Linked DNA regions of Saccharomyces cerevisiae S288C. The protein of the gene in region 4 binds, or shares a complex with, the protein of the main gene of each other region. Each region holds a gene or a part of one and is shown on either strand. Other genes may lie near its edges. A codon is read from its position in the direction of its gene.

Region 1 (5,697 bases), on a different chromosome or scaffold from region 4:
GTGGAATGGTGTACTTAATCTACCTTCGACGTTGTTCATCTTGAAGAAGTCTCTATCCAAGTCCTCAGCGGCATTGTACAATGCAGCTTGTTTACCACCGTGCGTAACAGATTTGGCTTCTTTTTGTGTGTCACCACCAGTGTGAGCTGAAAACGTTAGCTGATTCAAATCACGAGCTAAATCCACGATATCAATGCCTTTAGCCTTAGCAGCATTTTGCACTTGCTCCTTTCTGGTGTCCGGTAATCTGTCGAACACATATAAATCTTTGTTAAATTCTTCACACTCTTCTCTAGTGTAAGGTGTATCATCCTCTAGATGGGGCGGAGGGTTGACATACAGTAATTTCCCATTGACGTAATCTTTCAATATATAACGACTTGCTCTTGGTTCATCAGCAGAACCGTAACCTTGAGTCATATAACCACGAGCTCTGGCGTATGCGACTAACAATTCTTGAGCAGTTGGTATATCCCCATTCCCACCTTCATCCCTTGATTTGGTTTGAATATGGATACCATAAATCGCTTCAATGTAATACTTTGGTATTCTTTCTGCTACTAAACCTGCTGGACCAATATAATCACGTAATTGATCAATAGGTAAAACACCATTACACACGAGCTCACCCTTGTTATATGCAAAGTTTGGGAAGACAAGACCGGGACAGTCACAAAGCATGACAGAATCAGATAACTTAATAGTTTGGAAGTGTTTTGTTTTACCAGGCGTGGATGAAACAGAAACTTTCTTGGCACCCACGAGCGAATTAATAGTGGAGGATTTACCTACATTTGGATAACCAACCAAACCAATATTAATCAGTGGAGGTTGACCGGGCAGAGGTGGCAATAAAGGCTCGTTTGGAGCTTTTGATAAAAACAATTCTTCCAGTTGGTCAATGGACAGAATTTTAACTTTTTCCATAACTTTTTCATCAGCATCGAACCCTTCTTTATCAGCTTCCTCGAAATCTTGTTCTCTATAATCTTCCCCCATTTCCTTTTGTTTCTCCAATAATTGATTAGCTCTCAATGCAGAGTAAAACGTGAACGAAATATTCTTGGAGATAAAGTACTTTGCCCAAGCGATACGTTGCTTTTTGGTCAATAAATCTGCTTTATTAACTAGCAGTAAGTTTGCTTTTCTGTCATCTGACTCTTTTACATATCTTTCTAAATCGACAGATCTAAACAGCAACGGATTCCTCGCATCTACAATTTGAACAACTAAATCTGATCTTTCAACAACTCTCCATAACTGTTTCCAAACTTCGATATTTCTTTCAAACGGTGTTAACAACAAGTCTTCATTGCTTTCTTGTAAATGTGCCAATTTTCTTCTCCATTCTAAAAACGCTTCCTTTTCTTGCCTATCAAGCTGAAACTTGGACATGCCCTCGTTCCATTCAGGCCTCCTTGGAACAATCAAATCCTTAGCAAGCGCTCTTTGCTTCGCATTAAGATTTCCACGCTGCTCATTAGTCATAGAAAACCCTTGAGATGTCGCAGAATCATTACCGCTATCCATTCTAATAATTTTAACATTTGAATGTCTATCGGCCGTGAAATCTTTGTCTGCCAGTGCAGCTGTACTCAAGAATTCATCTAAAGCTGATTCTTGAGTTACAGATCTTAATTTAACCCAGTTGGCCTCATGCTTATCGGTAGTGAACCTCATTTCACCATCAGGTAAATACTCGATGGCATTTTCTTTTTGACGTGCATATTTAATAGCTCTGCCTAATTCAAGCTTATTTTTATTTTTACGGTGGGTAGGTTTTGGCCCTTTTGGCGCCTTCCATTTCTTGGGAGCTTCTTTTGGTGGCATAGTTGGTGGGGGTCCTCAATATCAGATTTAGTTTTGTGTTTAAAAGAAGTTGGCTTATAAGCTCATCACCTCTTTATTAAGTAGTAGAATGCATTTTCATTGACAAATTTTTTAATCTCGGCATTGAAAAATTTCCAGGCGAAAAGGCGAGGGAAGGGAAGCTTGATATAATTCGAAAGAATACCCAATATCAAGAATAATAATATCATTTGATGTAATATCATTATATTTGTAAGAGCTTTTTAAAAGCATCATCTTTCTTGATTCATCTGTTGCCTCGTATTATACAGAATAATGCACACGTATAAAGTACCAATATATAATGTTATGTATACATATATTCTTATTTATTGTTGGGCAGTAATTACTGACATACACTTAAATTCATTTGAATAAGTGGCTTTCCATAAACGTACCTTCCCATCATCCCCAGCACTGCTTAAGATTGTACCCGTTAAATTCCAAGACACGGACCAAACTTCGCCATTATGGTCATCATGCTCGCTTAGAAGTTCAACTTGCAAGTTTGATTGTAGCTCAGCTTTCTCTTCGGTATTTGAGTCTGATCTGCCCTGTGCATCCATGTCAACATCAGCACTATTATCAAACATATTTGAGTTAGTTAAAGACTCCTCTGAGGCCAGGGGACTTAGTTTTTCTGTGATTTTGAAAATTCTAATTCTACCATCTTTGCAACCTGTTGCAATGAGTTGATACCATCTACCAATGGAAGGAGCCCAGCTGATACTTCTTATTAAACTTTTATGACCGGGAAGTTTTGCTGCAACGTGAAGTTTACCGTCTTTACCCCTTTGGTATATAATCGCTTGTTCCAATGCAGAGACTGCGAGCTTTTCAGGAGAAAATCTCGAAGGACACCAAGAGAGACAAAAATCAGACTGTAAATGATTTGCTGGTGGTATAGATAGCACTTTCATCTCAGAAGTCAGTGTCCATGACCTTAGGTCAGAAGGTTCTAAGGCATCATAAAGTCTGAGGATTCCATCGTTACCCAAACAAGCTAATTTTAAGCCCAAATGCGCTGGCGCAAATTTTACACTATAAAGTGATCCTTTGGAATCATTCAGGGTACACAGCTTGTTCCAACGACGGCCAGAGCATTCTTCTTGGTCGGGATCTTCTTCCCATAATTTTACCGTCTTATCGTAAGAGGCTGAAGCAATGATGCGCCCATATTCTGGACTGGCCCAATCAATGGCCACGATACTACTGTCGTGAGCTCTCCATGAGTCACTGAGTTCCCAATTACTCGTGTCCTTGTCTAATTTAAAAACTTTAATATGTTGATCAGAAGAGCATGTTGCCACATGTCTTCCGTAAAAGTCATAAACGACATCATGAACTAAATCATCATGCCCACTATCAAATGGTTGCATATTCAGAAATATTATTGGGTCGTTCTTCTTCTTCCTTAGTATCTCTTCAGAAGGGAAACCTTGTTTATAATTTGGTTTACTTGTCTCTATTCAGTTCATGATTTTTTCCATCGTTTTGCCGAAGACTTAACTAACAATAAATAAGAGAAACAGATATATTAAAACTTGGTTGATAATGCAGCACGCACATTCAATCGCGAATAATATACAAAAGATTATTTCTAAAGTTACATATAATGCACACCGGGTGCTGGAAGTATAATACATGCAAAATAAAATGGGCACTATCTCGTTGAAAAGCATCAAGATGTTATTATAAATGATACGCACCACCAGGTGAAGGTTTGAGAAAAGAAAAAAAAGCACTAACTTTTCTTTCAAAAGGCCACATTATTACTCCTTCAAACTGTCGAAAAAGGCTTGTCGATCTTCCAGTAAAGATTGTGTCCATTTTTTAACTTCATCAGTTTTTATATCATTGATGGCTCCCAAAAATTGTTTCAAATCCTTCTTGCCATTATACTTTTGTTCGTACTCAAAACATTGAACCAACATTTCATACTTATCAATATCTTTGACATATCTTCCTTCCAAACAGGTCTGCTTTTCGTATGCTAACCAGTCATCAAGAATTTCCCTAGATGCGCTTTCACTGCAGGGCCTTATTATGCTTTCACAGAGATACTTGACAGTTTCAAATTCTCTGCGATGTTTCTCTTCCTTTGTCATTGGGTCATTAGGTGTAATATCACCAACTAATGACTCCGCAAAATCGTGAACAAGTGCGATTCTGATACATTTGTTACGATCAACATTCTTGTCCGTAATCAGCATGGTAGTTAAACCCATTCTGTACATATGGTCAGATATACTTTCGCATGGGTCAATACCATGGTCAACCCAACCAGTTCTTCTTTGCGTTTTCAAAAGTTGTATAATATTCAAAAACGCTAACTGATAATTTGGGTGAGGTTTCGAAAGAATTGCCAAAATCTCCCTAGGTATATTATCTTCTGGCTTCCAGATGTTAACTGCAGTCATTTTGTTTTTCCTGGTCTTTACCTCGAATAGGTTTTCTTGTTTTGTTATTTGTTTTCTTTTTGGACCCTATGTTTATATATGGATTTTGAAAATCTTTTAAAAAAGCGATAAAAGCGTTGGGATCTGCCACTGGTAACTTCAAAATAGACAAGACGAAAAAACGGTGAAAATGGGTGATAGAAATAATACAGAAGTAGATGTTGAATTAGATTAAACTGAAGATATATAATTTATTGGAAAATACATAGAGTTTTTGTTGATGCGCTTAAGCGATCAATTCAACAACACCACCAGCAGCTCTGATTTTTTCTTCAGCCAACTTGGAGACGAATCTAGCTTTGACGATAACTGGAACATTTGGAATTCTACCCTTACCCAAGATCTTACCGTAACCGGCTGCCAAAGTGTCAATAACTGGAGCAGTTTCCTTAGAAGCAGATTTCAAGTATTGGTCTCTCTTGTCTTCTGGGATCAATGTCCACAATTTGTCCAAGTTCAAGACTGGCTTCCAGAAATGAGCTTGTTGCTTGTGGAAGTATCTCATACCAACCTTACCGAAATAACCTGGATGGTATTTATCCATGTTAATTCTGTGGTGATGTTGACCACCGGCCATACCTCTACCACCGGGGTGCTTTCTGTGCTTACCGATACGACCTTTACCGGCTGTACAAAAAAAATATTGTAATGAAATACAATTTTTAAATCGTTAGTAAAACAGGTTTTCAACTGGACATTTTATCGAAACAAAAGAAACGTGGTAACTCTTTTTCATAATTGCGCTCTCTACAACCATTTGATACAGCGATAATTAGTGCTTTCCATAATCTAAATGAAAGTTACCTTTTATAGCCGTAAAATGAGTAGACAGTATGACTGTTCTGAATATCATGGTATAATAAAGGAGAAGTATGACAAAGGCTATGCACACTTTCTTTTTGCTCAGTTTGCGATGGAAGAGTACATTTACTCGAGCTATTACCTCAAATAAGCCGTCTCAACAGTGAGATGGTAATACAAAGTTCGCAATCAAAACACAAAGAAATATGTTGAGTACACTTAGCTGATTGACATTCTCCTGTACCATGATATACACACGACATATTGGTTGCACAACACTAAAAAAAAAGTCACCGTCTTGGTTCTTTCATTCCCTCTTCCAAATGGAACTACATACCTGAGACGTGACCTCTGTGCTTTCTAGTCTTAGTGAATCTGGAAGGCATTCTTGATTAGTTGGATGATTGTTCTGGGATTTAATGCAAAAAAATCACTAAGAAGGAAAAAAATCAACGGAGAAAGCAAACGCCATCTTAAATATACGGGATACAGATGAAAGGTTTGAACCTATCTGGGAAAATACGCATTAAACAAGCGAAAAACTGCGAGGAAAATTGTTTGCGTCTCTGCGGGCTATTCACGCGCCAGA
Region 2 (9,684 bases), on a different chromosome or scaffold from region 4:
TGGAAGGCTCTTTTCTCAAATAAGCCAACTAACGGTTTTGTCTATCATGAAGCTACCGTCGGTGCTGGTTTGCCTATCATCAGTTTCTTAAGAGAAATTATTCAAACCGGTGACGAAGTTGAAAAAATTGAAGGTATCTTCTCTGGTACTCTATCTTATATTTTCAACGAGTTCTCCACTAGTCAAGCTAACGACGTCAAATTCTCTGATGTTGTCAAAGTTGCTAAAAAATTGGGTTATACTGAACCAGATCCAAGAGATGATTTGAATGGGTTGGATGTTGCTAGAAAGGTTACCATTGTTGGTAGGATATCTGGTGTGGAAGTTGAATCTCCAACTTCCTTCCCTGTCCAGTCTTTGATTCCAAAACCATTGGAATCTGTCAAGTCTGCTGATGAATTCTTGGAAAAATTATCTGATTACGATAAAGATTTGACTCAATTGAAGAAGGAAGCTGCCACTGAAAATAAGGTATTGAGATTCATTGGTAAAGTCGATGTTGCCACCAAATCTGTGTCTGTAGGAATTGAAAAGTACGATTACTCACACCCATTCGCATCATTGAAGGGATCAGATAACGTTATTTCCATCAAGACTAAGCGTTACACCAATCCTGTTGTCATTCAAGGTGCCGGTGCCGGTGCTGCCGTTACTGCCGCTGGTGTTTTGGGTGATGTTATCAAGATTGCTCAAAGACTTTAGATCAGTAAACAGACATATAAAAACATAGGTATATTTATATATAAATAGATAACATTATGCTTTACTATCCACGTTCGAATATTATTTACTTTGTGAAGAAACTCATCCATGTCATGGGGCTACTCAATCTTCTACAATCTTTCCTGTAATCCACATTTCCTTTGCGTCAAGGAAAATTGACCTTAACTTCTGATAGTCCAAGCAAGTTGATTTGAAATTTAGGATCACTTTTTGAGCATCTAATGAAGAGCTTGAAGCAGAATGAATTTTCCCGATTATGTTTCCCGGATTCACTCTGGATATATAAATGTTGTTAGGAGCTAAAAATAGGCAGCCATTTTCCCTCAATTCCGCGACGTAAGCACCCGTATGATGAATATATTGAACATATTTGAACTGTGGTTTGCCCCATGAATACATGATGTCAAACTCTATATCTTGATTTTGTAAAAATTTGGATGCCCTATTGTCTAATAAAAACCCAGATGCCTTTAAAAGATAAACGTGGTAGTAGAATTTGCTTTTAGCGAAAAGCTCCCTATCCTTGAACTCAGGATCTTCCCAAGGATTGATAGCTAACTTAATTTCCACAAAAGAGTGAAATGGATTGACCGAAGGGATAGTACAAAGTTCTTCCCAAGGAATTTCAATCATTTTCAAACCGTACCTTTCGCATAACCTTGACCAGTTCCCAACCAAATCATCGATCAATTTTGGGGTGGTAGTCAACCATTCCAATCTTATGTGAAAACAGTGGTCGGGGTTATGAACTCTGTCATAATGGACTGTACACGATTCTTGTTTCGAGGATTTTCCCGCGGGATCAACATCGATAACAAGAGAGTTACTCAGCATTAAAATAGGGCGTGATGGCTCTTTGGCGTCAGCAACTGAAGCATTCGAAGCGCTTATAGCAGGTACTACTGAAGAAAAAGGAGTCATAGCGCTTGGATCGTTTGAGCTACCAGTGGATGCTTTTCTCAACATCTGCTTTGGATCGGATAATGTAGAGCGATGGGAGTTTGTTTTTTCTAGTTTATTAGTGTCCATTACGTATTCAGGTGAGAACTGGTAAAAGTAGTGCCCGTCCAAAAAATTGTGCTTATTTAAAACGTGAACAAATAATCCCTCTTTCATCACCTTCTGCCCATATTTAATTGCATCTTCTCGAGTATCTATATCAGAGAAGTTTCTTATGAGCCAATTAACCATCTCCGAGCCAACAAAACACTTTTCATGCTTTTTCCAGTGCCATTTTCTGTTGACTAAAGTAATGCGATCTTCGCCACGTTGAATTTGATACGCCAACTTGGATAGTTCTACATTTCTGTTTAAAAGGTTATTATCATTAACAAAAATTGAATCTTTAAAATTTATAGCCGAGCTTTCTAAAGATGTTTGTTGCTCATTAATGAAGTTGTAAAGCGGGCCGGTGTAAAACATAACTTCAGGCTGTATTTCTTCTCTCTTAGTTTTTCTTCCTTTTTTTTCTTTCTCTGTTCTTAGTCTTGACCTCGTTATTGAGCCAATTAATCTTCTCAAACCCTCGACTCTGATTTCTTCTGGGTTTAAAGTTTCGCTTTTACCATTGATAACCATAGAATATGTGTTGGGAGGGATATCTGTTGGTAACACCACATATTTAGCTCGAAATCCGTGCCATTTCCTATCTATTAAGTTATCGCCATAACCTGCTAGAACCTGATCAATTTGATTCCAGTTCAAAGATTCTCTTTTAACATGAAGTGGGTCAATCATAGCATCACGAAATGAGCTCTCGTATCTCGTTTTAACCAACGGAATATAACTAGGAACCTGATCAAACAAGTTTGCTTCATCTTTTCTCAAATACCTCTCCACATCAATAATTCCACTTGACGAGCATGTTATTCTGTGTATTTCAGAGTCGATCATTAGATAAAGTTTGAACGCATCATTTTGATTGAAATCTAAATACTTGTTGACTACAGTTTCACTTTCACCACTTTCCCTAGAAAGTTCTATTTTTTCTACTTGTCGGCCCACGCAGATTTGAAAACCAGTTAACAGTCGCATATAAATCATATCACGAAGTAAGTCTTTGTATGTCTGATTATATTGTTCTTGATCTGTGTTTAAAGTCACTGAGTGATTTCTGAAGATGAAGTTCCTATCAAAATCATCCTTGGATGGAAAATCAGAAATTGTGATTGGTAACTCTGCTGGGGTTGTAAAAGACCTCCATTTACTATATTTTCTGGCCACATATTTTGGCCATACATCTTTCCAACGTATAGGCAATAATTCGTTGGCAAATTCACTACTTACCGGAATGGAAGGACTTTTAATATCCACCCAAGTTTCACTTATACGATGTTTCAATTGCTGTGTGAGGCTATAAGTGTTCGAGTCATCATGTTTTGATTTTTGCCCTTCTGTAATGAAAGCAGCCTTGTCTGACATATTAGAAAGTTTAGAGGATGTTCTGGTATGTGATGAGCCTAAATATGAGGAGGGTGAACCACTCATGATTTCATTACTAGGTAGCCCAAAAATGGATAGGTTTTTCTTTATTATCAAATTTCCACGTTTACTGATAACGTTTTCATCTGCCAGGCCTTTTTGTTGTAATTTCAGGCCACTTATTTTACTTTCAGAAGATGGTAGTGGTGTATTTGAACCTAAAGGTGAGTTATCCACATCATCTCTGAGTAATGTTGACTTTATTTTTTTATTTTTACTTGTGTCTATGTTCGAAATAAATTTTGTAATTACTCTTTGAGTAAAATCTTTCAATGAGTTCCTTTTGCTTAGTCCTTTGAGCGAATCCAGCGCCAAAGATGTGTTTTGGTTATCAGCAGATCTCACAGAGACCAATGAGTCATTCATTTCGAGATTGTCATTGTTAGAAGTGGTGGGAGTGCTAATTTTATCATTTGTAGTATTACAATCATCATAAAAAGAGGCCTCTATTGTTTTTATTGATAGATCTGGTATTACGTTTGGTTTTTGAATATCCTTAATGGCTGGGAGAGCAACTTTTGGACCTCTCCATATGAATTTTGTGTTACCGTGTGTTGTTGTTGCTGTTGCCGGGATTTTCCTTGCCTTCACAACAACATCATTCTCGAAGACGGTATCAAACTTTGAATTTAATTTCTTAGATTGTTTCGTATTAGAGCCAGCGCATAAAATTTTCACCTCGAAGGCATTTTTGTCGTAATCATTCATAAACTCGGATAGTGATTTGACTTTCTTGTTCAGCTGTAAATATTCAACATCCACTTCCCGAATTAACTCATTTTCAGTAATCCCCATCATTTGTAAGTCATAAATTTTACATCTTGGAGTCCATTCTGAGTTACTCTTTTTGTCATGATCATTCCAAAAGAAAACACTTAACCAAAGCGGTACACAATGATGAAGCTTGTTCTCAAAGTCTCGGTACCTAAAAAGTGGAACTATGTGCAATGGAGCTTTTGAAAGACATATTAAATCCATCGTCATTTCAAGAGAGAGTAGTTTTTTTCCTGTTAGCCTTAATAAACTATAATCAACGTCAAATAATCCAGACCCTGGTGAAATAATCATGACGTGCGTTGTAGTGTGTCGAAGATCTAATTGCTTGAAAGGATCCGTTAAAATTGTCGTGGCAAAATTGACCAATTCGAGAAAATTCGACTTGATTACAGGTGAAAATCTTCCATTCGCTACACTGTAACCCTTATCCGTTTGCTTGTTTAATAAATCTTTTCTGATTTCCATAAATTCTTCTCTTAATGTTTCCATAATATCAACCCAATGGATAATACTGACTTGATCTACAACTATCCTAAAATAATCCTGTGAATTTTTCAAAGATTCGCCGGGTGTTAAGTCCTTGAATGATGTATCAGACAAGTCCATTGATATAGCGAAGGCTATAGTGATAGTATGGTGGGTGTCCACATCTTTCCATTTTTTGAAGATCTTCGGGAAAAATGAATTAACCATCTTTTGAAATAATTGTTCACCAGTTTCTTCGAAGTTCCACATTTCATCAGTTATTTGAATCAAAAAAATTAATCTGGCAGATTCGGACCGAAAAATTATCCTTGTTTGTTCGCCAATATATCCAGAAACAATCTTCTTACCATTTCGATAAATTCCCTTAATAGTACCTCTGATAGAGTCTAAGAATGCCAGTCTTTGATCCATAAACACACATGTATCTACCAGCTTAGATGATAGAACCCACATATCACCTCTATTTAGTAGGCAATCTTTGATATTAAACTCTACCACATCTGCCTGTAAGTCAAATTTGTTTGGTTTCAATTTTATCCATATCCTAGACCTAGAAGGCAAATCTAACAAAGTTTGCAGTTGACCCGAAAGTATTGAAACATTAGATGTTTTTGCCCTTCTTTTAGTCTCTCCGTCAAAATCTTTTGCAATAAAATAAATTTTCTTATCTCCGTTCGATGCAGATGGATTTTTGTGATATGTTTTCAATTCTACCAAATCACCAGGTTTTATATCCGGGAACTCAACTAGATTTAGCATCACTAAATTCTCGGAAAATCGGGACTCATGATAGCCTAATTCAGCTTGATACGCCTTTATTTTCAGTCCTGGAATATGATGGCGATGGACCCGTTCCCCATTGTCATAATTGTTGTCACCACCATTGTTGACGTTATCGTCATTTTCCTTATTTGAAATCAGCTTTCTGCCGGAAGCCCTTTGTTGAGAACCAAACTGCTCTTTCTTTTGTCTTAAATTTCTATTGGAACCTACTATCAAATTACCCGATGATAAGGATATGCTATTTGCGTGAGTAGTATTGCTAGTCCTTGGAGTTTGTGAATTGATGGAAGAAATTGGTCTTTGTTTCTTCCCATGCAATTTAGCGAACATCCTTAAAAAGTGTCCCTTGTCAGTGCTGAGTTATTTCCCTGCTTAAAAAGTAGTTACAGAAACAATTCGTTGTTCTGTCACTTACTATCTTTTAAACAATAATGATTAACATAGATAGTGATTCAAATAGTCACGTGATCTCTTTTAGAGAAAGGACTTAATCCGTACACAATGATTTAATTTTTCATTACCTTATAATGTGATAGTCATAATAGCAATGAAGGATTAGTAATTACCAATATAAGAGCTCTAGCACATTAGCTATGAATTTGTCAGCCGCACCAAACTAACATAAAGGTCTTACTATGTTAAAAGTTCTTGTCCTTGAATAGAAATAAATGAATGAATCTAGTACCCTTCCCCATTCACCTAAGTTGGCTAGCCATATTTTCGGAAAAAGAGTGGGAGGAACAAGATGCTAGATAAACAAATATTCATGTTATTAAGCTTAGAATTTTGGCTCTGTTTTGTTTATTTCCAGATTTCTATTTTCTGCTATTCATCCAAAATATATTTTCTCACAAAAGCTGTTAATTTGAAACTAATGTTAAACAAAACATCTCACTTCAAATTGAAGCCAAATTAGAACCTAAGTAACCAACACACGCACAACTTTCATCCCTTATCCCACTTCTTTGAAAACTTTTAGAAGCCATTGATGGTATTGTACATTTACCTATCTTAGCAGATTCCTTATTAGCCGCCGAAATGGGTAATAAGTATTATAATCACTAAATACGAAAAATTTATTCATACCAACCCGCAACATGAACTACAAACCTTTGGGTATATAATGACAAAGACGTATCAAACCAACACATAAGGCTATTTTCAGGCAACTAATATGCTGTTTTATCTGCGGAATTTCACCAACTGACTTTTACTAAGCACTCAATAAAGATGCAGGTAAAATACGTGGATTTATGAATCCGGGTAATATAATTTGTCCACGTGATATTTCACAGAATGAATTTCATCACGTGCGTATTATCTCTTAACTCATAATGCCACAATTACCACCACACAGAGGCAGGAATGGTTTAACTGCTAAGAGACACTGGAAAATTTGAGTCATGGAGATGCGACGAATTACTGGCCGCTGCAAGCAGTTATATAAAGTGTTGGAAGACGATAGTTTTTAATGTGAAATAAAATTGGGATATAGAAAGGTTCCTTTGCTTGTTATTTTTTTTCCATCGTCTTGATATTTATTCAGATCCCTTATATACTAATAAAGTAACAGTAGGGAACGGGAACCAGAGAAAAACAAAAGATTGGCGAATGACTGCTTCTGACCTCTTGACGCTCCCACAATTGTTGGCGCAATATTCCTCTAGTGCTCCCCAAAATAAAGTGTTCTACACTACTAGCACAAAAAATAGTCATTCATCCTTCAAAGGGCTAGAATCTGTTGCCACAGATGCTACTCATCTATTGAACAATCAAGATCCATTGAATACCATCAAAGATCAACTCTCTAAGGACATTTTAACTACCGTTTTTACAGATGAAACTACTTTGGTCAAATCCATCCACCATCTATATTCTCTTCCTAATAAACTTCCATTGGTGATTACAGTGGATTTGAATTTGCAAGATTATTCCGCAATTCCTGCGTTAAAGGATCTTTCTTTCCCCATCTTAATATCTTCTGATTTGCAAACTGCAATTTCAAACGCGGACTCTTCTTATAAGATTGCTACAAGTTCTCTGACCCCAGTTTTCCATTTTCTTAACTTGGAGAAAATTGGCACGAGTACAGCTATTGAACAAGACATCGACTTTCCTACCTTGGAGATTGCTAACGAAGAGACTAAAGTAGCATTATCAGAAGCTACTGATTCATTGACAAATTTTGAACTGGTTAAAGGTAAAGAGTCAATTACCACTGTCATTGTTAACCTGTCACCATATGACGCGGAATTCAGTAGCGTATTGCCTTCAAACGTAGGATTGATCAAGATTAGAGTATACAGACCATGGAATTTTTCCAAGTTCTTGGAAATACTGCCATCTTCTGTTACCAAAATCGCCGTTTTACAGGGTGTCTCTAAGAAATCGCAATCAAACGAATTTCAACCATTTCTTTTGGACTTCTTTGGCAATTTTAATGAATTAGTTTCTAGGAACATCGAGCAGGTAGTGTTGACTAATATTGGTAATGTGAATGATTATGGCAACGTTATCAACACCGTCATATCGAATATTAACAAGAAGGAACCAGATAATAACTTATTTTTAGGTGAATCCAATGAAAAGGCTGAGGAACAAGCTGAAGTTACTCAACTTATTTCTTCTGTCAAAAAAGTTGTGAACTTAGAAGACGCCTATATCAAAGTGCTAAAACAGTTATTTTCATCAAATCTACAAATTTTGAATCAATTTTCCAGTGAGACAATTGAACCAAGTAATCCAGAATTTGGTTTTGGACGCTTTTTAAAACAAGAAGCCCAGCGTGAAGAATTGATCAGCTTAGCAAAAACCTCTCTTGATCCAAGTCTTTACTTGTCCGAGGATGCAAATAAAATTGTTCAACTATTATCTAAATGGTTGTCATTCAATGGACGCGATCTTGACGAAGCTCAATTACAAGAGGCCAATGCGACAGGTTTGGAAATATTTCAGTTATTACAATCTAATCAAGATTCCTCTACTGTCTTAAAATTCTTAAAGATAGCTCCAACAAGCGATTCTTTTATTTTCAAATCAAGCTGGCTAATTGGCTCCGATGCCTGGTCTTATGATTTGGGTCACTCAGGTATTCAACAGGTTTTATCCTCCCGTAAAAACATTAATGTTTTATTGATTGATTCAGAGCCATATGACCATAGAAAGCAAAACCAGGATAGAAAGAAAGATGTTGGTTTGTACGCCATGAATTATTACAGTGCCTATGTTGCCTCTGTAGCAGTATATGCTTCTTACACCCAACTATTGACTGCAATAATAGAGGCATCTAAATACAATGGTCCTTCTATTGTCTTGGCTTATTTGCCGTATAATTCCGAAAATGATACTCCATTAGAAGTCTTAAAGGAAACCAAAAACGCCGTTGAATCTGGTTACTGGCCATTGTATAGGTTTAATCCTGTTTATGACGATCCATCAACAGATAAGGAGGCATTTAGCTTGGATTCTTCGGTTATCAGAAAACAATTACAGGACTTCTTAGACCGTGAGAATAAGCTTACCCTATTAACCAGAAAAGATCCATCTTTGTCAAGAAATCTAAAGCAATCTGCTGGTGATGCGTTGACAAGGAAACAAGAAAAAAGAAGCAAGGCTGCCTTCGATCAGTTATTGGAGGGTTTGTCCGGCCCACCGCTACACGTCTATTATGCTTCTGACGGTGGTAATGCTGCAAACTTGGCAAAGAGACTAGCAGCAAGGGCATCTGCAAGAGGTTTAAAGGCTACTGTTCTGTCCATGGATGACATTATTTTGGAAGAATTACCTGGTGAAGAGAATGTAGTTTTCATTACTTCCACGGCTGGGCAAGGTGAATTCCCCCAAGACGGTAAGTCTTTCTGGGAAGCTCTGAAAAATGACACCGACTTGGATTTAGCTAGTTTGAATGTTGCTGTTTTTGGTCTCGGTGATTCTGAGTATTGGCCACGTAAAGAAGATAAACATTATTTTAACAAGCCTTCACAGGATTTATTTAAGCGCTTGGAATTATTGAGTGCCAAAGCCCTAATTCCCTTGGGACTGGGTGATGATCAAGATGCTGATGGTTTCCAAACTGCTTATTCTGAGTGGGAACCTAAATTATGGGAAGCTCTTGGTGTTTCCGGCGCTGCTGTTGATGATGAGCCAAAACCTGTTACAAACGAGGATATTAAGAGAGAATCTAATTTCTTGAGAGGTACTATCAGTGAGAACTTAAAGGATACTTCTTCAGGTGGTGTTACTCACGCTAATGAACAATTAATGAAATTTCACGGTATTTACACCCAAGACGATCGTGACATTAGAGAAATACGTAAGTCACAAGGCTTAGAGCCATACTATATGTTTATGGCAAGAGCTCGTTTACCAGGTGGTAAGACCACTCCACAACAATGGCTTGCTCTGGATCACTTATCTGATACTTCAGGCAATGGT
Region 3 (8,565 bases), on a different chromosome or scaffold from region 4:
ACATTCTTTAAATCAAAGTCATTACCCTTCAACCTGCGGCAAGCAAATTAGGGACACCATTATGGTTATTGAAAATTTCATCAATCACTATTCTCAGATGTTTGGTTTTGAATACATCGAAGCTGTTAAATTGTTTTTTGAAAGTTTTGGAAATAGCTCAGAGGAAACTTTAACTACACTAGACTCTGTTGTTAATGATAAATTTTTTGATGATTTGCAGAGCCTAATTGAAAGCAACGGATTTGCTTGACTGATACTTTACCATACGGGAGTTGAATATCGGTACTCCTTTATTATATTTATGATCCTCTCCAGAACTCCATCTACCTCCCGCCTTTTAATGACCATTTTTACGACCTTTTCGCATGTTTTTCTATTCTTTTACAGTTTCCTTGGTACCGCTAGTTACATTATGTTATCTTGAAAAGGCTACTATACACTTTTTTTGCACTACTGAAGCAGCTTTCAAAAGCTCTTTATAGACTTCAGATAGTATTACTTTTTCCTTAAAATTCTATCTATTTGTAAACGACCAAGAGTGTCATTATGTATACTATATATCAAAAAGTTCCATATGTTGTCTGAAGTTCCTTTTATCTTCCGCCTTTCTATCTTTCTGTTACAATTATTCAACAGCTTTATTTTTCTAATTTTGGAATTAGTTGCAATGCACTGGCACCGATGGCGTTTCTGAAACTAAAAATATTCTTCATGCCCTTTTATGAATTTAGGATACAATGTCCATTCCAATGTAAATAACGCAACCATAATCCAACACAATAGTGGGATATACTGGATTCCCACTGTGTGTGCAATAACTCCAGCCAAATATGGAATGGCTGCACCACCACAACCACCAACGGCGACGGCAACCCCAACCCCGCTCACATGTAGTCTTTTGGGCAATACTTGTAATGCAACTATACTTGCGTTTGGGAATAATGGTCCGATAAACGTACCACAACAAAAAACAACAAAAAATAACACGACGAAATAGAAAACTGAGCTTGAATTGATCAACCCAACAAGCACAAATAAGGTGTATGAAGATAGAGTTAAAAAAGCGTACGCTTTGCTTGCTTTATACTCGTTTTCGAAGAATCTTTCAGTAACAAATCCTAGACACAACCTGCCTACAGTCAAACCTGTCCAAAACGATGCCGCTATGTATGACATAGCAACCTTATTACTTGATTTAGTTTCCAATAAATAACTAAAGAACCATGAACCAGTTGTAATTTCAGCACCTAAGTAAAGGAACAAATACAATGAGTACAAGAAAATAGCAGGATTTCTTAAAAGTTCAAAAAATCCTGGGCTCGCCTTGGTAGATTCCATCAGCGAGTTATCACCCGCTTCTTCCACATCATTGTTGCTTTCTTTGTTTTCCACAGAGCAGAGGTAGTCGTATTTACTTGCAGTTTCAAATTTAAAAGCTGGGAAGATTACAATCATGCCTATTATAGAAAAGAACAGAGGAATAAGGAAAAAAAGAGACCAATGACCCCATTCAACAAAATATGAAACTAAGGGAGGAGTAACCATAGCTGCTGCCCCGTAAAGACCATGCATGATACCCATGAGTTCATTCTTATGGACTAAAAGACTGCCCATTAAAACATTACCGGTAGAATCTAAGATGCCGATCCCTAAACCAAGAGGAAGGCCACAAAACATACAAACATAGAAACTAGAAGGTGCAGTTGCTAAAATGATAAGAAATACTATACACAAACCAGCTGCTAGAAGCATACCACCTCTCATACCAAAGTGCTTATTCAATCTCTCTTTTGATAAAGACGCCATCACATAACCACATAATTGGACTATAAATACGTTTGAGACATCTACCCGCGATATATGATAGTATTCAATTAGCGTAGGAAGTAGTGCACCTACTGTTTGATCGTTCATACCAAAGACTACGAACATAATCAAGCATGCTATCACCTGCAGCTTTACTAGTGGTACAGTTTGATAGTTTAGTGGATATGTTTTAACTTTCTCGCCCTGCCAGTCAATTTCTTTGATTAAGTTTGTATTGTTAGGTAGACTATCTTCATCTTGAGAATTTCTTCTGGAGTCTGATGATGATAGCAGATTTTTCAACTCTATTGGGTTATGATGTGAAATTTCAGTTGTATACATTCCATAATCATCTACCTTTGGTGGAACCGAGGAAGCATCCATGCTGAAAACTTATATATGGATTAAATTATACTATGAATCCCTAGGATCTTATTCTTGGTTTCTTACTATAGCATTTTAGAATACTGTTGAATGTCTAGCTATGCATGATCGGAGAGTTTAAATTTTTCTGTCTCGGAACGTTCTTTTTAATTTGTCAAAAACATCGATATATAACGATGATTACTGAAAAAGGAAAACCGATTGATAATACATATGGTGCGATTGCTGGCTGAAGGCGAGTGAGCTATTGAGTGGATTTAGTTGAAAATCATGAGCTTATCACCACACGTAGAAAATGCTTCCATTCCCAAGGGGAGTACCCCGATACCAAAAAACAGAAACGTTAGTTCTATAGGCAAGGGCGAGTTTCTTGGATCTTCGTCAAGCAACAATTCTTCTTTTCGAATGAATCATTACTCAAATAGTGGACAACCTTCCGTGTTAGATTCTATACGGCGACCTAATCTAACTCCAACTTTTTCTTACAGTAATGGGGTTTATATGCCTGAAAGTCACAGAACTAGTTCATTCAACGATAGTTATTTGCCATATGATAAGAATCCTTACGCAAAAACAACCGGAAGCATGAGCAATAAATCGAACATGAAAATCAAAACAAAGAAAAATGCAATCAACACAAATACAAGAAAGTCGTCTGGACTCATTTACACCACCAAAGTGGATAAAGAATTATCTAGTATAGACAAAGTGAATGATCCAAACATTAACGGTCTTGTTTGTGCAGGTAAAACTCATTTGGGGCTCTATAAATTCTCGCCCTCAGATAGATCTATCAAATGCGTTCATGATTTCATAACACCTAATAGCAACACCTCAACAAGGGGAACGACATCCCTTTTGCCCAAGCTGAGCAAAAGAACAAGACAGAACAAATTTAGTACCATTGCGGATGTTAAGACTGGATTTAATAATTACAAGAACTGTATTGCAGTGTGCAACAATTCTACGGCGATATCGATATATGATCTCAATAAGAGTTCCTCGATAGACAATCCCTTGATAACATCCTTATGCGAACACACTAGATCTATCAATAGTTTTGACTTCAACATGGTCGAATCAAACCTAATAATAAGTGGTGGACAAGATAGTTGTGTAAAAATATGGGATTTACGTTCCAATAAATCTAAAAGCTCAAATAGATCTGACATTAGTATAAATACCGCATCTGACTCAATCAGAGATGTAAAATGGATGCCCGGTTACAATTTTGCATCTAAGAACGATCAAGGTTCATCAACGTATGGTAATTTAAAAAGCGGTTACAAATTTGCTTCTATTCACGATTCGGGATACTTGCTAAAGTTTGATCTTCGACAACCTGCCCAATACGAAAAAAAATTAAATGCTCACACAGGACCCGGTCTTTGTTTAAATTGGCATCCCAATCAAGAATACATTGCTACAGGTGGTAGAGACGGTAAATGCTGCCTCTGGTTTGTTGGCGACAATGCCAATGCCGCCGAAAATACAGTCCTCAATTACGGGAACTCTCCCTCGTTACATGCCCCCAATACGTCCTTGAACAATAGCGGCTCGCTGGCATTTCCCAAACTAACAATTAATACGGGCTATCCAGTCACTAAATTGAAGTTCAAGCCTGCTTATAGTAGTAATATATATAATTCATTACTAGGAATATCGTCAATGGGTGACGAAGCTGAAGTTCGCATCTATTCCTTGGCAAGAAAGTACATTCCAAAACATGTTCTCCTATCAGAAACGCCTTCTTTAGGATTAGTATGGTGGGACGAAAACTTGATCTTTAATATCGATAAGGGGACCCGTATAAATGGCTGGGACATTAACAAAGAACCAACAGTGCTCGAAAATTTGAGCAAAAATACAACAACTTGGAGAGATTTGGATGGTAACGGTTTACTTTCAGTTGACCAAGAGATAGGCTCATATGAGGTGGTAGAACCGGAGCTTCAACCTACCTCAAGTACCACATGCAAGAAGCATCCAGGTACAATAAAAAACCCGAAGAATGGCAATCCAGAGAACCAGGGAATAATTGGAGGGATAAAAAAAGGATTTAGCCATACTGGATTAACAAGTTTTACGCCAGAGAGGCCGCCTACTTTAAAAGCAGGCCCAACGTTTAGCACAAAAAGCTTAACATTAGCATCTGGAGCATCTTCTTTTAACAGCTCTTCCGCATCATTGACATCCCTGACGCCACAAACTGAAAATAGAGAAGAAATCGCCATTGAACCGCCTTGTATCATCACTTTGGATATACCGCAGATCTTCAATAACATAAGATTAACCAAAATCGCACATTCAAGAAAAAAGAACGTCATTTCCGAAAGTTCTTCTATGAAAAATTCTCCAGTAGAAAAGTTCAAATATTTGGCGAGACAGCTCAAGTTTTCGTATATTCGAGAGCATAATGTTTCAGACAGTGCAGACACTGCATATAAAAATGATATAGAGAACATTGACGTCGTTAAAAACGCAACCGAAACACATGGTGATAATACTACTACTACCAATAATAATGATGATGGTGATGATGATGATGATGATGATGATGATGACAAAATAATCGAAAGTCACCTTTTGAAAAAATACAATTTTCCAGAAAATAATACATGGGCTACCTTAATGAATGAAAAAGTAAATAACAAAAAATCCAAAAGAAATTCCAGTAGTTCGAGGGAGTTTGACGAGAAGGATGTCAGATCAAGTATATCTTCCATTTCTGCAAGTAGGCAAAGTCATGACAGAGCTAGGAAGATCGACAAGAACGTGGAAGCAGAACTGCAAGAAAAAATACAAACACTGGTAGATTTGATATCTATTGCAACGCATAACGCATCTGTTTATCTATCCATAGATGATCTAACCAACTTCAAAATCTGGATCTTGATAAGAGATTCATTGTTATGGGACTTGAAGTGGATGACCTCCTCCCAAATTTCATCAGATAACGCATCTAATATGGATGCCAATGAAAGCTCCGATTTCGAAGCTGGAGAAAATCTGAAAACAGGAAAAGAGTTCCCAGAGGAGGATGGTGCAGGGACAAGTGGGGCTGAGTCGTTAGTTGAAGAAAGGCCGCAGGCATTTCGTGCTAACTCTGATGAACCAAGTGATGCCGAAAAGAAACCTGTTTCTAAGCTCAAAGAGCAGCTCAAAAACACGGAAATAATCCCCTATGCGCAGCCAAATGAGGATTCAGATGAAGTTTTAACTAAGCTAAAAGAGCTACAGAACCAACGCTTGGAGTCAAGGACTAAAATGGGAGAAACAGTGAGTGACGATGTGATTATAGAGGAAGACGAACATGAACATCAAGAAGAAGAACAGCCTCATGACTCACCGACTAAGTCAGCACAATTTCACGCGTCTCCTATCGCGAAAAGTATACCAATATTGCAGAAACGTGAGCACCGCAAGTCATTCATAGATACTTTCATGTTGCATTCTCCCAACGGTTACAATGGAGATACGGACATAGGTAACGAAGATGACAATATATCTCCTAGGTTTACTTACAACAGCGTAAGCCCACGCAGTAAGGTTTCGTCGCTACAAAGCTATGCCACAACAACCTCGCAACTAGAAACTTTTAAAAAGCTTTCTTCCCATACAGCACCAATAATCGGATCGCCCAGACATGCGCCATCACGGCCAGATAGCATTGGTAGGGAACAACTGTCTTCTTCATTGACGAAAAAGCTTGCCAAATGCAAGAAAATTATCGCTGACCCACCCTGGGACACGAAAAAACTCATCAAACAACTCTACAATCAAGCTACTGAGACTGGGAACGTCGTATTGACGGTGAATATTTTATTTCTTTTCCAAACGATATACCAAATAACAGAAATCGACATTGCAAAGGACGCAATCGCTCACTTCTTGTTATTATTACATCGATACGAACTCTTCGGCATTGCTGCAGACGTCTTAAAATACTGCCCATTCGAAGATATCATGGGTTCTGAGGGTGACCAATCTTCCATTCGGTTGTTTTGCGAACGCTGTGGTGAGTTAATCACTAACGAAAGTTCTAAAGAAAAGCTCAGAGCGGAAGCTCAGCAGACGGGCAATAAGAAGATCATGGACAAGTTTGGATACTGGTATTGTGACTCTTGTAAGAAGAAGAATACATCTTGTGTTCTATGTGAAAGACCATTAAAGAAACTGACCATGGTCATCCTCCCCTGTGGACACGAAGGTCACTTCCAGTGCATACAAGAATGGTTTCTCGATGAGAATGAACAAGAATGTCCCGGCGGTTGCCCCGGTGTTGCATTCATCTAGGTTCTCCACATAATGTATAGTTTAACATATCATCACCATTGTTTAGTTAAATCGTTTAGAGTAATATTACCCGTCAAAAAGGTCGGGTAAAATTTTATTACCCTCTCCGAAAAGAAAATTTTTTTCGTCGTCAATAGAGTTTAATGCAATACCTGATAAAGAGAGTTTTACATTGCAAGAGGTAGTGTTAATTCTGGATTTATATTGTACATATGTGTTTGTGTTAGTGCTTGAGTACTTCCTAGGAGTTTTACGAAAAATAAAAGCATTTTTGTCTGAAAACTAGTGAAAGGAAGAAAAATGTCCGTTGAAGAAGTTAGCAAGAAGTTTGAAGAAAACGTTTCAGTCGATGATACCACAGCTACTCCAAAGACTGTTTTAAGTGACAGTGCTCACTTCGATGTCAAGCACCCATTGAACACCAAATGGACTTTATGGTACACAAAGCCAGCCGTCGATAAATCTGAGTCGTGGTCTGATCTATTACGTCCCGTCACTTCATTCCAAACTGTTGAAGAATTTTGGGCTATCATTCAAAATATTCCTGAGCCACACGAACTACCATTGAAATCAGATTACCACGTCTTCCGTAATGACGTTAGACCTGAATGGGAAGATGAAGCCAATGCTAAAGGTGGTAAATGGTCTTTCCAACTTAGAGGAAAAGGTGCTGATATTGATGAATTATGGCTAAGAACTTTACTAGCAGTTATTGGTGAAACAATTGATGAAGACGACTCCCAAATTAACGGTGTCGTTTTAAGCATTAGAAAAGGTGGTAACAAGTTTGCCTTATGGACTAAATCTGAAGACAAAGAACCACTATTGAGAATTGGTGGTAAATTCAAGCAAGTTTTAAAATTAACCGATGACGGGCATTTGGAATTCTTTCCACATTCCAGTGCCAATGGTAGACACCCTCAACCATCAATCACCTTGTAAGATAGTCTGAATTTTTCTTAAGATAATTGTTATTTTAATCAAAATTATATATATAATCATAATATAATATATATACATTCTACTAGTTAGGATGCACGTATAAACTCATCATGTTAACACAGAAGGAAAAGTCAAAATGAAGGAGAAAAAAAAAAAAAAAAAAAAAAAAGAGAGGATGACGTTAAAAGGACAACTCTTATTAATTATATCATTCAAGGTATGAAAGACGCACCACATGTACATATCACGTAAGATGTTCCTATGTGTCTCTGACCGAATGGCATTTTTTATACTACAATATAAAGATGAAAAAAAAAAAAACAATCTATACATGACAATTTACAAAGTATATTTAAGCGTAAACCGCTTCAATAGCCTTTTCAAAAGCATCCATCCCTTCTTCGATTAGTTCGTCTTCAATCGTTAATGCGGGAACAAATCTAACGGTACTCTTACCAGCGGTAATGATCAAAAGTCCCAATTCTCTGGCCTTTTTGATGACCTCGGTGGGTGGTTCGACGAACTCAGCACCAAGCATCAAACCTTTTCCTCTGATAGTCTTTATTTGATTTGGATATTTGGCTTGAATTTCGCGCAAGCGCTTTTGTAAGATATCACTCTTCTTAGAGACTTGTTTCAAAAAAGCTTCGTCTGCTATGGTATCCAAAACATAGTTGCTTACAGAACAGGCCAGCGGATTACCACCATACGTGGTGCCGTGGTCACCAACTCTCAAAGCATTATTAACTTTTTCATTGACGATGGTGGCAGCGATGGGGAAGCCATTTCCCAATGCTTTGGCAGATGTAAAAATATCCGGATGAGCCTCACTTGGTAAATAAGCATGAGCCCATAGTTTACCTGAACGGCCCAAACCGCATTGAATTTCATCATGAATGACAATCACATCATTATCTTGACATATTTTCTTCAATCCGGTTAGCTTTTCAACTTCTACGGGAAAAACCCCACCTTCACCTTGTATGGGCTCGACAATTAAACCAGCAATCTCGTCCTTTTTGGTCTCGATATAACTTTGTAGTTTGGTCATTTCGTCATTCAAATTTAAGAATGAGACATGGGGAACCAAATCCCCAAAAGGAGTTCTATATTTACTATTCCAAGTGACAGATAAAG
Region 4 (6,611 bases):
ATCCTTAGATATTATACCTGGACCCCAGGCACCTGGGTTTCTCCAATAACGGAATCCAACTGGGCCGGTAACCCCAGCACCACAAACCATACAAAAACAGTATATTAGAAACCCGATAATGGCTAAAACTTTGATGGAAGCGACCCAGAACTCGAATTCACCGTAATATTTGACAGGGAACAAGTTCATTATTGTGATAATTACCCAAAAAATACTAATCCATGCCGCCAGTGGAACTTTGTACGTCCAAAATTGAATGACTTGGCCAACTACACTAAGTTCCAGGGCAAAAGTGATTGCCCAAGAAAACCAATACATGTAACCATTGGCCGCACCAAATGCTGGAGAAAGGAATCTTTGTGAGAAAACTGTGAAAGAGGATGTAACAGGGATGAATGTAGCCATTTCACCCAAGGACTGCGTGACAGAATATGCCAAAGAACCCATAAATAAATATGATATAAGAGCGCCCACTGGGCCGGCGTTGGTCAGAGGTGTGGATAAACCAATGAAAAGACCTGTACCAATAGTACCACCAAGGGCAATCATACCAATATGTCTTTGCTTAAGCTCTCTCTTCACTTCAGCGTTCTGTACTTCTCCTTCATCTTCATCACCTATGCCATCCTCCATAGAGAACGTATCCTCGCCATTTACTCTCGTCGGGAAAGAGCGCAATGGATACAATTCTTTACTTTTCTCATCTTTCAATGGTATTGACCCACGTCTGTGGTGTGTTTGTGAAGCTTCAACGTCGTGAAAGAGGGTTGTGACCGGCTCATTGTACATATGCTTCTCCTCTATGTCGGCGTCTTCTTTTGAATTTGTCATTGCTATGCCTTTTTTTTTTTTTGTTTTTACAGGAGTTAAGAAGTCTGAAGAACTCTGAAATAAACTTTCGATTGACGACAGATTAAAAACTGGATCCAACTATAAGTATAATAGTAACTTATATATTTCTGTTCCAGATATATACGTAAAAAAAAGAAAAGGATAATTGATGTTTTTGCAAAAAGGGATTCCCTGATTCGGTTTACTCTGTTCGCAACCACTCTTCTTTCTGCTAATTTGTGCTTTATCTCGTATCATTCTCTTATCTACTTATCTTAACCTTATCGTCTTCCTCGAAATTTTCATTGATAGAGACAACTGCAAAAAAAGAAATTCAAAAAAGCCGTATGACTCACCCGGAAACCACACAGAAACCCTAGATTTCTATAGGGCAAATTTCAGGGTTATACTAAAAGATATATTATTGACCTTGGTTATTCTTCAAGTTCGCCCTATTGAAAATTCGGACACTTTAGGGTTTGGAATCTGTTAAAGATATAAGTAAATATGATGATAAAGAAATAGGTTTAATTTATACGCACTTGCCAGTAAGTGATTGATATTGCAGAAGTAACATGAATACGGTTCTGTGGCCTTTGCTGTTTGCCGTTATTTTATTTCTTTTTTTTGTTTTTTTTCTTTTTTTCAGCACTATCAAGGCTAATAAGGGACAAGAGTTCTTACTCAGTGTGAACGTGTTCTAAATAAGTTCTTGTTCTAATTAATTGTAACTATTTTTATGCATTTCTTGTAAGAGGAACTGGAGTAATCGTATCTCGGAAATACATAGAGGTGCGTATTCATAATGGGCCCTCTATCACTTGTTGCCTGTATCTCCGAATAGGACTGATAAGTGATAAAAAAAAAGAAAACTGGGTTAGCTTGAAGCGACTTTCTTTCTCTACTAAAGGGAATGGTCAGATCATCAGGCCAACGGCAAATGCTAAGCTATTTCCAAGGGTTTGTGCCCATACACACAATATTTTACTCCGTGTTCCATCCTACAGAAGGTTCTAAGATTAAATACGAGTTTCCGCCAAATAATTTGAAAAATCATGGTATTAATTTCAACACATTTAAAAACTACATCATACCGAAGCCTATATTATGCCACAAGTTGATCACTTTTAAGTATGGTACATATAGGATTGTATGTTATCCTGTGACAATCAATTCTCCAATATATGCTAGGAATTTTTTTAGTTTTAATTTTGTATTTGTATTCCCATATGATTGTGAGACGTCTCCCTACGAACCAGCTATTACTAGGCTGGGCAAAATGTTCAAAGTTCTTGAAGAACAAAATCAATTGCTATCCAAATCGGAAAGAGATCCAGTTTTCTTCGATTTGAAGGTGTTGGAAAACTCCACAACAACACCCTCCACTGCAGGTCCTTCATCCACGCCAAATCCTAGTAGTAACACCACACCAACTCATCCTACATCCGAAAAGGATACAAAGGATATGAGAAGCAGCAGATACAGTGACCTTATCAAGGATTTGGGCCTTCCGCAATCCGCATTTTCCATACAAGATTTATTGATGAGAATTTTCCAAGACCTGAATAACTATTCCGAATGCCTCATACCAATTGATGAGGGAAATGCAGTAGACATAAAGATTTTTCCGCTGTTGAGACCACCGACAACTTGTGTCTCATTAGAAGATGTGCCCCTGTCGTCTGTAAATTTGAAGAAGATTATTGATGTCAACTGGGATCCAACCATGATGAGTATAGTCCCTTACATTGATGGCTTAAACAGCATTGCCAAAATTTCTAAACTAAGCAACAGTGATCCTGGCCTAGTGATAGAGTGCATACGTCACTTAATATACTATAAGTGTGTTACATTATCAGATATTTTCCAATTTTCTAACATATACGCTCCTTCTTCATTAATTAGGAATTTTTTGACTGATCCACTAATGGCTAGTGACTGTCAATCTTATGTTACGTTCCCAGAAGTGTCTAAAATATCGAACTTGCCCTTAAACAAAAGTCTGGGTTCAGGTGACCAAGACTCACCATCATTTTCTGTACGAAGAAAATCCAAATCATCTAGCATACCGTCAAACCCGGATTCTAGAACTACATCTTTTAGTTCTACCAGTAGAGTTTCTCAAAACTCCTCCTTAAATTCCTCTTTTTCATCAATTTATAAAGACTGGAGGCAATCACAAACCTCCTGCTCGAGTTCAAATATTCATGTCATCAACAATCGTAACCGATTCCTACCAACAAGATCATGCCTATTTGACCTTTATAGGTCACTTTCACAAGGTCAAACGCTGAAAACATGGTATGAGTCGAAATATATGATTTTAAAAGAAAATAACATTGATATAAGAAGGTTCATAACGTTTGGCCTGGAAAAACGTATCATTTACAGGTGCTACTCTTTTCCTGTAATGATAAATGCAGGTTCACGTGAACCAAAAGAAATGACACCAATAATAACAAAAGATTTAGTGAATAATGATAAGTTACTTGAAAAAAGAAATCACAATCATTTGCTTTCAGCCACAGGGTCTAGAAATACGGCACAATCCGGCAACTTGAAACCAGAAAGACCATCAAAGGTTTCATTTGAAATGCAAAGGGTAAGTTCGTTGGCAACAGGCAAAAGTACTATGCCGAAACTCAGCGACGAAGAAGAAGGTATTCTTGAAGAGTCTATTAGGAATGCCGAAACATTTGATAAAATTTGCGTTTTACTGAGCAAGCCTAAATTAGAAGTCGAAAGCTACCTAAACGAATTAGGAGAATTTAAGGTAATTAATAGCTGAGTTAAAATTAGAGAAATTCATTGTCCATCAAAATGTTTTTTTTTTTTTTTAATATTACAACTTATTTCCGTAAATAAAGATAGTACACACGAATCCAAACGTTTATATAGTTAGCTCTGTGAAAATTTGATTTAGGTTCATCTCTTGGTGTGTTTGGTAGAGGTGGTTTCACACCCTTCTCTTCTGTCTTGCCTTCTAATGAATAACTGAGTATTCTTTACATACTTTGTTTTTATTAACCACTAGTTTGAATATATATTCGACTGAAAGGCAATATCAACTATTCAATCTTTAACATTTTTCTCGAGCCCTCATTGTCCACATTTTCACTGGATTTGTTTTCATCTTCAATTGCATGCTTTTTGGGCGATATTACACTTTGCACTGAATTGCTATTTATGTTTGATAACCTTAACGGCATTTTCTTACTTAGATTTGGTATTTCCTTCAATATGTTCTCGATCATTTCGTCTTTGGTAGCGTTTTCCTTGTTACCATAGTTTTTCATTATGTTTTCAATCGTATTATAGATATCATCCACATTAGTTATATGAGAGTGTGTTGATGTTATCGAATTTTTAATGTTATCTTTCAACATGTTATGCTTGTTAATAAGCTGCTCAAATTGATCATTAAATTTGGTATTGTTCTTCAAAAGGGATATAGCGTTCTCCGATTCTTCCACTTGTCCTTTCATGACTGAAATAGACTCATTCATCGAATTTGATGATGTATCAACAGTACTCTTGATTTGCGATAGCGTCGCTGCCATGCTATTATAGAATTCGTTATTCATGGAGTCACAATCATTTATCAGATCAAATGAATTTTCCCATTTAACGCGCTTGGGTTCAAACAGATCCATTTCTTGATCAATAACCGCGCTGGTTGCAGTTGTCAGATTCTGCATTATTAGTTTTTTATTTTCGTCAAGGTGGTCATTTAGGACCTTTTTAAAGTTCTCAACAAACTCGTTTGTTCTCTTCTCAATATTTTCATAAGTAGAATCCACATGACGATTCAGTAATTCTTGATGGTTATTCTTGAAAAAATGGTTTTTTAAGTACTGTTTCATGTTGTTATTTTCTTCGCTAATATCAGAAAGATTCTCGGCTATATTTTTATAAAATTTTTGGAAATCTACTCTTATTATGTCGATTTTCTCAATAACAACATTGAAGAATTTAGGAGATTCGTTTAAAATTTTCTTCACACAGTCTTTGTACATTAGTTCAGCTTTTTCTTGCATGGTTCTCATAAGAGTCAGTACTTCATTTTTGATCATATCAAGATTTGGTTGGATATTAGTCTCTTGAAGAATACTTTCCTGTTGCATAGTGTTTAATTGTAAAAACAGTGTAGATTTCAATTTTTTAATTTCTTTAGTAATATGCATTTCAAACTTTTGATTAAGGTCAAGTTCTCTTTTTTTGTAATCATGTAGGGCCATTTGCATTACCTCAGTCAACTTCTGTAGTTTGTTATTAAAATCGGATATTTCAATTTCAGTTTTATGCTGTTTATCTAGTTGTGCCCTTAAATGATCTATGGTAGTTTTCAATGATTCTATTTGGCAATTTTGAGATTGAATAGTTTCTTTTGACTTCAATTTATCTTTTACTAGCAATGCATTTTTCGATGTCAAACTTTCAATTTCTCTTTTACATTCTTGAACTTCATTTTTATAACTTTCTAAATCACTGTTCAAATTTTTGTAGTGATCTTGGCTCATATATATTCCTTCTTTGGACTTTGTAGAGAGTAAATCGGATTTAATCTTTGCTAATTCCATAGTTATATTTTTAACCAAAATATCCTTCATTATAAATGAACCCAGTTGCGGCTTGTTCTTAATGTTTTTAGCCTTCGAAGCATACTCTAATGTACTGCAGGTTTCTTCAGAAGTTACCTTTGCAGGCGATATAGTAGCAATTAGTGCGGTTTTCGTATTACCACCCAGGGAATCTTGAAGCAGGCGGGTCAATTTCGATTCACGGAAAGGTATATGGCCGCTTTTATCTACGAGTGCGTTTATGACCCTGCCCAGCGTCAATAGACTTTGGTTGATTGAACCAGCTTCTTTGGCACGTTGATTTAATGCTCCGGATCTGTTGATGTTTTCTGAACCAGCTAAATCCACAAGATTCATTTTGGAAATTCTAAATAGTTCATCCTGATGCTTCTTATACAAAGTGATTGTAAAAATGGTATGAGATCTACTGGAAAAATCGTTCATTTTAGTGGACGCTACTTGCCTATGCTTTAAGCCTTTTTGTAATAGGTTTAGCCCCTCCATAGCATTTGTTATGTGAAATTCTTGCAAATTCTGGATGTATATACCATTAGTTTGGTCATTTGGAGCCATCGAACTTCTTTGACCGTTATTTGTGTTGGTGTTACTAGAAGCATTATTAGTGGTAGAGCCAGAGTTAGAGGAAGAGTTGTTCCTGGAATTCACTGCCTGTTGTTGTTGATACTGTTGCTTGATGGTATTCGGCAGTGATTTTGTCCTTAACCTTTTTCTTAATAGAGCAGCTTTAGGTGTTAGATCATTTAATGACCTCGGAGAACTGTTCCTAGAATTACTCCTGGAACTACTAGCACTGTTGCTAGTGGTATTATTTGCTGTGCTTGAATCAAAAATCCTCAATTTTTTCATAAATTGGCCGTCAAAGCCAGTATTACTAGAGCCGTTGCTATTGCTGTCCAAGAGGTCCTTCAATTCTTCGTTGTAGAGTTCAATGAACGAACATTTTACTACGTAATCGTTCTGTTGTAGTTCCAATGTGTCAAACAACTTCAAAAGAACCCTCGGTATAATTCCTGCTGCATCGCTCAATTCACCATTATATAACTTTTCGTCGCCCGTCATTGTATATGTTTTACCTGTTGACGTCATACCATATACCAGTACGGTGCAATTGTAACCTTTAATGAAATCCTGGAATAATGGGCCCGCCACTTCATCAAAAATTAGATCCTGGGAAGCGCC

What was found.
Region 1: NPR2 (region 4) and SEH1 share a complex: the UniProt entries of both Saccharomyces cerevisiae proteins name them as parts of the SEA complex.
Region 2: the proteins of NPR2 (region 4) and IML1 are in contact, whole or in part, in a cryo-EM structure (PDB 8AE6), measured with the Saccharomyces cerevisiae proteins. Residues at the interface, in NP_010852.4 of Saccharomyces cerevisiae: Pro106 (codon at 2,087), Arg110 (codon at 2,099), Met114 (codon at 2,111), Val117 (codon at 2,120), Leu118 (codon at 2,123), Glu120 (codon at 2,129), Gln121 (codon at 2,132), Asn122 (codon at 2,135), Glu220 (codon at 2,429), Gly221 (codon at 2,432), Asn222 (codon at 2,435), Ala223 (codon at 2,438), Asp225 (codon at 2,444), Lys227 (codon at 2,450), Phe229 (codon at 2,456), Pro234 (codon at 2,471), Pro235 (codon at 2,474), Ser247 (codon at 2,510), Ser248 (codon at 2,513), Val249 (codon at 2,516), Asn250 (codon at 2,519), Lys253 (codon at 2,528), Ile254 (codon at 2,531), Ile255 (codon at 2,534), Asp256 (codon at 2,537), Val257 (codon at 2,540), Asn258 (codon at 2,543), Trp259 (codon at 2,546), Asp260 (codon at 2,549), Pro261 (codon at 2,552); in NP_012672.1 of Saccharomyces cerevisiae: Glu288 (codon at 4,719), Asn291 (codon at 4,710), Phe292 (codon at 4,707), Glu293 (codon at 4,704), Glu294 (codon at 4,701), Thr295 (codon at 4,698), Gly296 (codon at 4,695), Glu297 (codon at 4,692), Gln298 (codon at 4,689), Phe300 (codon at 4,683), Gln301 (codon at 4,680), Asn305 (codon at 4,668), Pro309 (codon at 4,656), Phe339 (codon at 4,566), Lys340 (codon at 4,563), Pro344 (codon at 4,551), Trp367 (codon at 4,482), Val368 (codon at 4,479), Met371 (codon at 4,470), Glu372 (codon at 4,467), Arg375 (codon at 4,458), Glu376 (codon at 4,455), Met379 (codon at 4,446), Pro403 (codon at 4,374), Ile405 (codon at 4,368), Lys406 (codon at 4,365), Leu445 (codon at 4,248), Pro476 (codon at 4,155), Leu477 (codon at 4,152), His478 (codon at 4,149).
Region 3: NPR2 (region 4) and RTC1 share a complex: the UniProt entries of both Saccharomyces cerevisiae proteins name them as parts of the SEA complex.

The regions. Positions count from the first base shown.
Region 1 is NC_001139.9:310,764-316,460, reverse strand, and holds SEH1 (Seh1p), read right to left. Parts: upstream 3,228-5,697; coding exon 2,178-3,227; downstream 1-2,177. Other genes in the region: ribosome biogenesis GTPase LSG1, read right to left, coding at 1-1,830; YGK1 (5'-deoxynucleotidase), read right to left, coding at 3,621-4,268; 60S ribosomal protein uL15 RPL28, read right to left, coding at 4,534-4,934, 5,446-5,494. UniProt on the Saccharomyces cerevisiae protein: Functions as a component of the nuclear pore complex (NPC).
Region 2 is NC_001142.9:680,463-690,146, reverse strand, and holds IML1 (GTPase-activating protein IML1), read right to left. Parts: upstream 5,581-9,684; coding exon 826-5,580; downstream 1-825. Other genes in the region: HOM6 (homoserine dehydrogenase), read left to right, coding at 1-702; MET5 (sulfite reductase (NADPH) subunit beta), read left to right, coding at 6,862-9,684. UniProt on the Saccharomyces cerevisiae protein: Component of the SEA complex which coats the vacuolar membrane and is involved in intracellular trafficking, autophagy, response to nitrogen starvation, and amino acid biogenesis.
Region 3 is NC_001147.6:59,246-67,810, reverse strand, and holds RTC1 (Rtc1p), read left to right. Parts: upstream 1-2,460; coding exon 2,461-6,486; downstream 6,487-8,565. Other genes in the region: PFK27 (6-phosphofructo-2-kinase), read left to right, coding at 1-250; BSC6 (Bsc6p), read right to left, coding at 697-2,190; CDC33 (translation initiation factor eIF4E), read left to right, coding at 6,787-7,428; ARG8 (acetylornithine transaminase), read right to left, coding at 7,781-8,565. UniProt on the Saccharomyces cerevisiae protein: Component of the SEA complex which coats the vacuolar membrane and is involved in intracellular trafficking, autophagy, response to nitrogen starvation, and amino acid biogenesis. May be involved in a process influencing telomere capping.
Region 4 is NC_001137.3:32,636-39,246, forward strand, and holds NPR2 (nitrogen permease regulating protein NPR2), read left to right. Parts: upstream 1-1,771; coding exon 1,772-3,619; downstream 3,620-6,611. Other genes in the region: arginine permease CAN1, read right to left, coding at 1-831; kinesin motor protein CIN8, read right to left, coding at 3,900-6,611. UniProt on the Saccharomyces cerevisiae protein: Component of the SEA complex which coats the vacuolar membrane and is involved in intracellular trafficking, autophagy, response to nitrogen starvation, and amino acid biogenesis. Mediates inactivation of the TORC1 complex in response to amino acid starvation.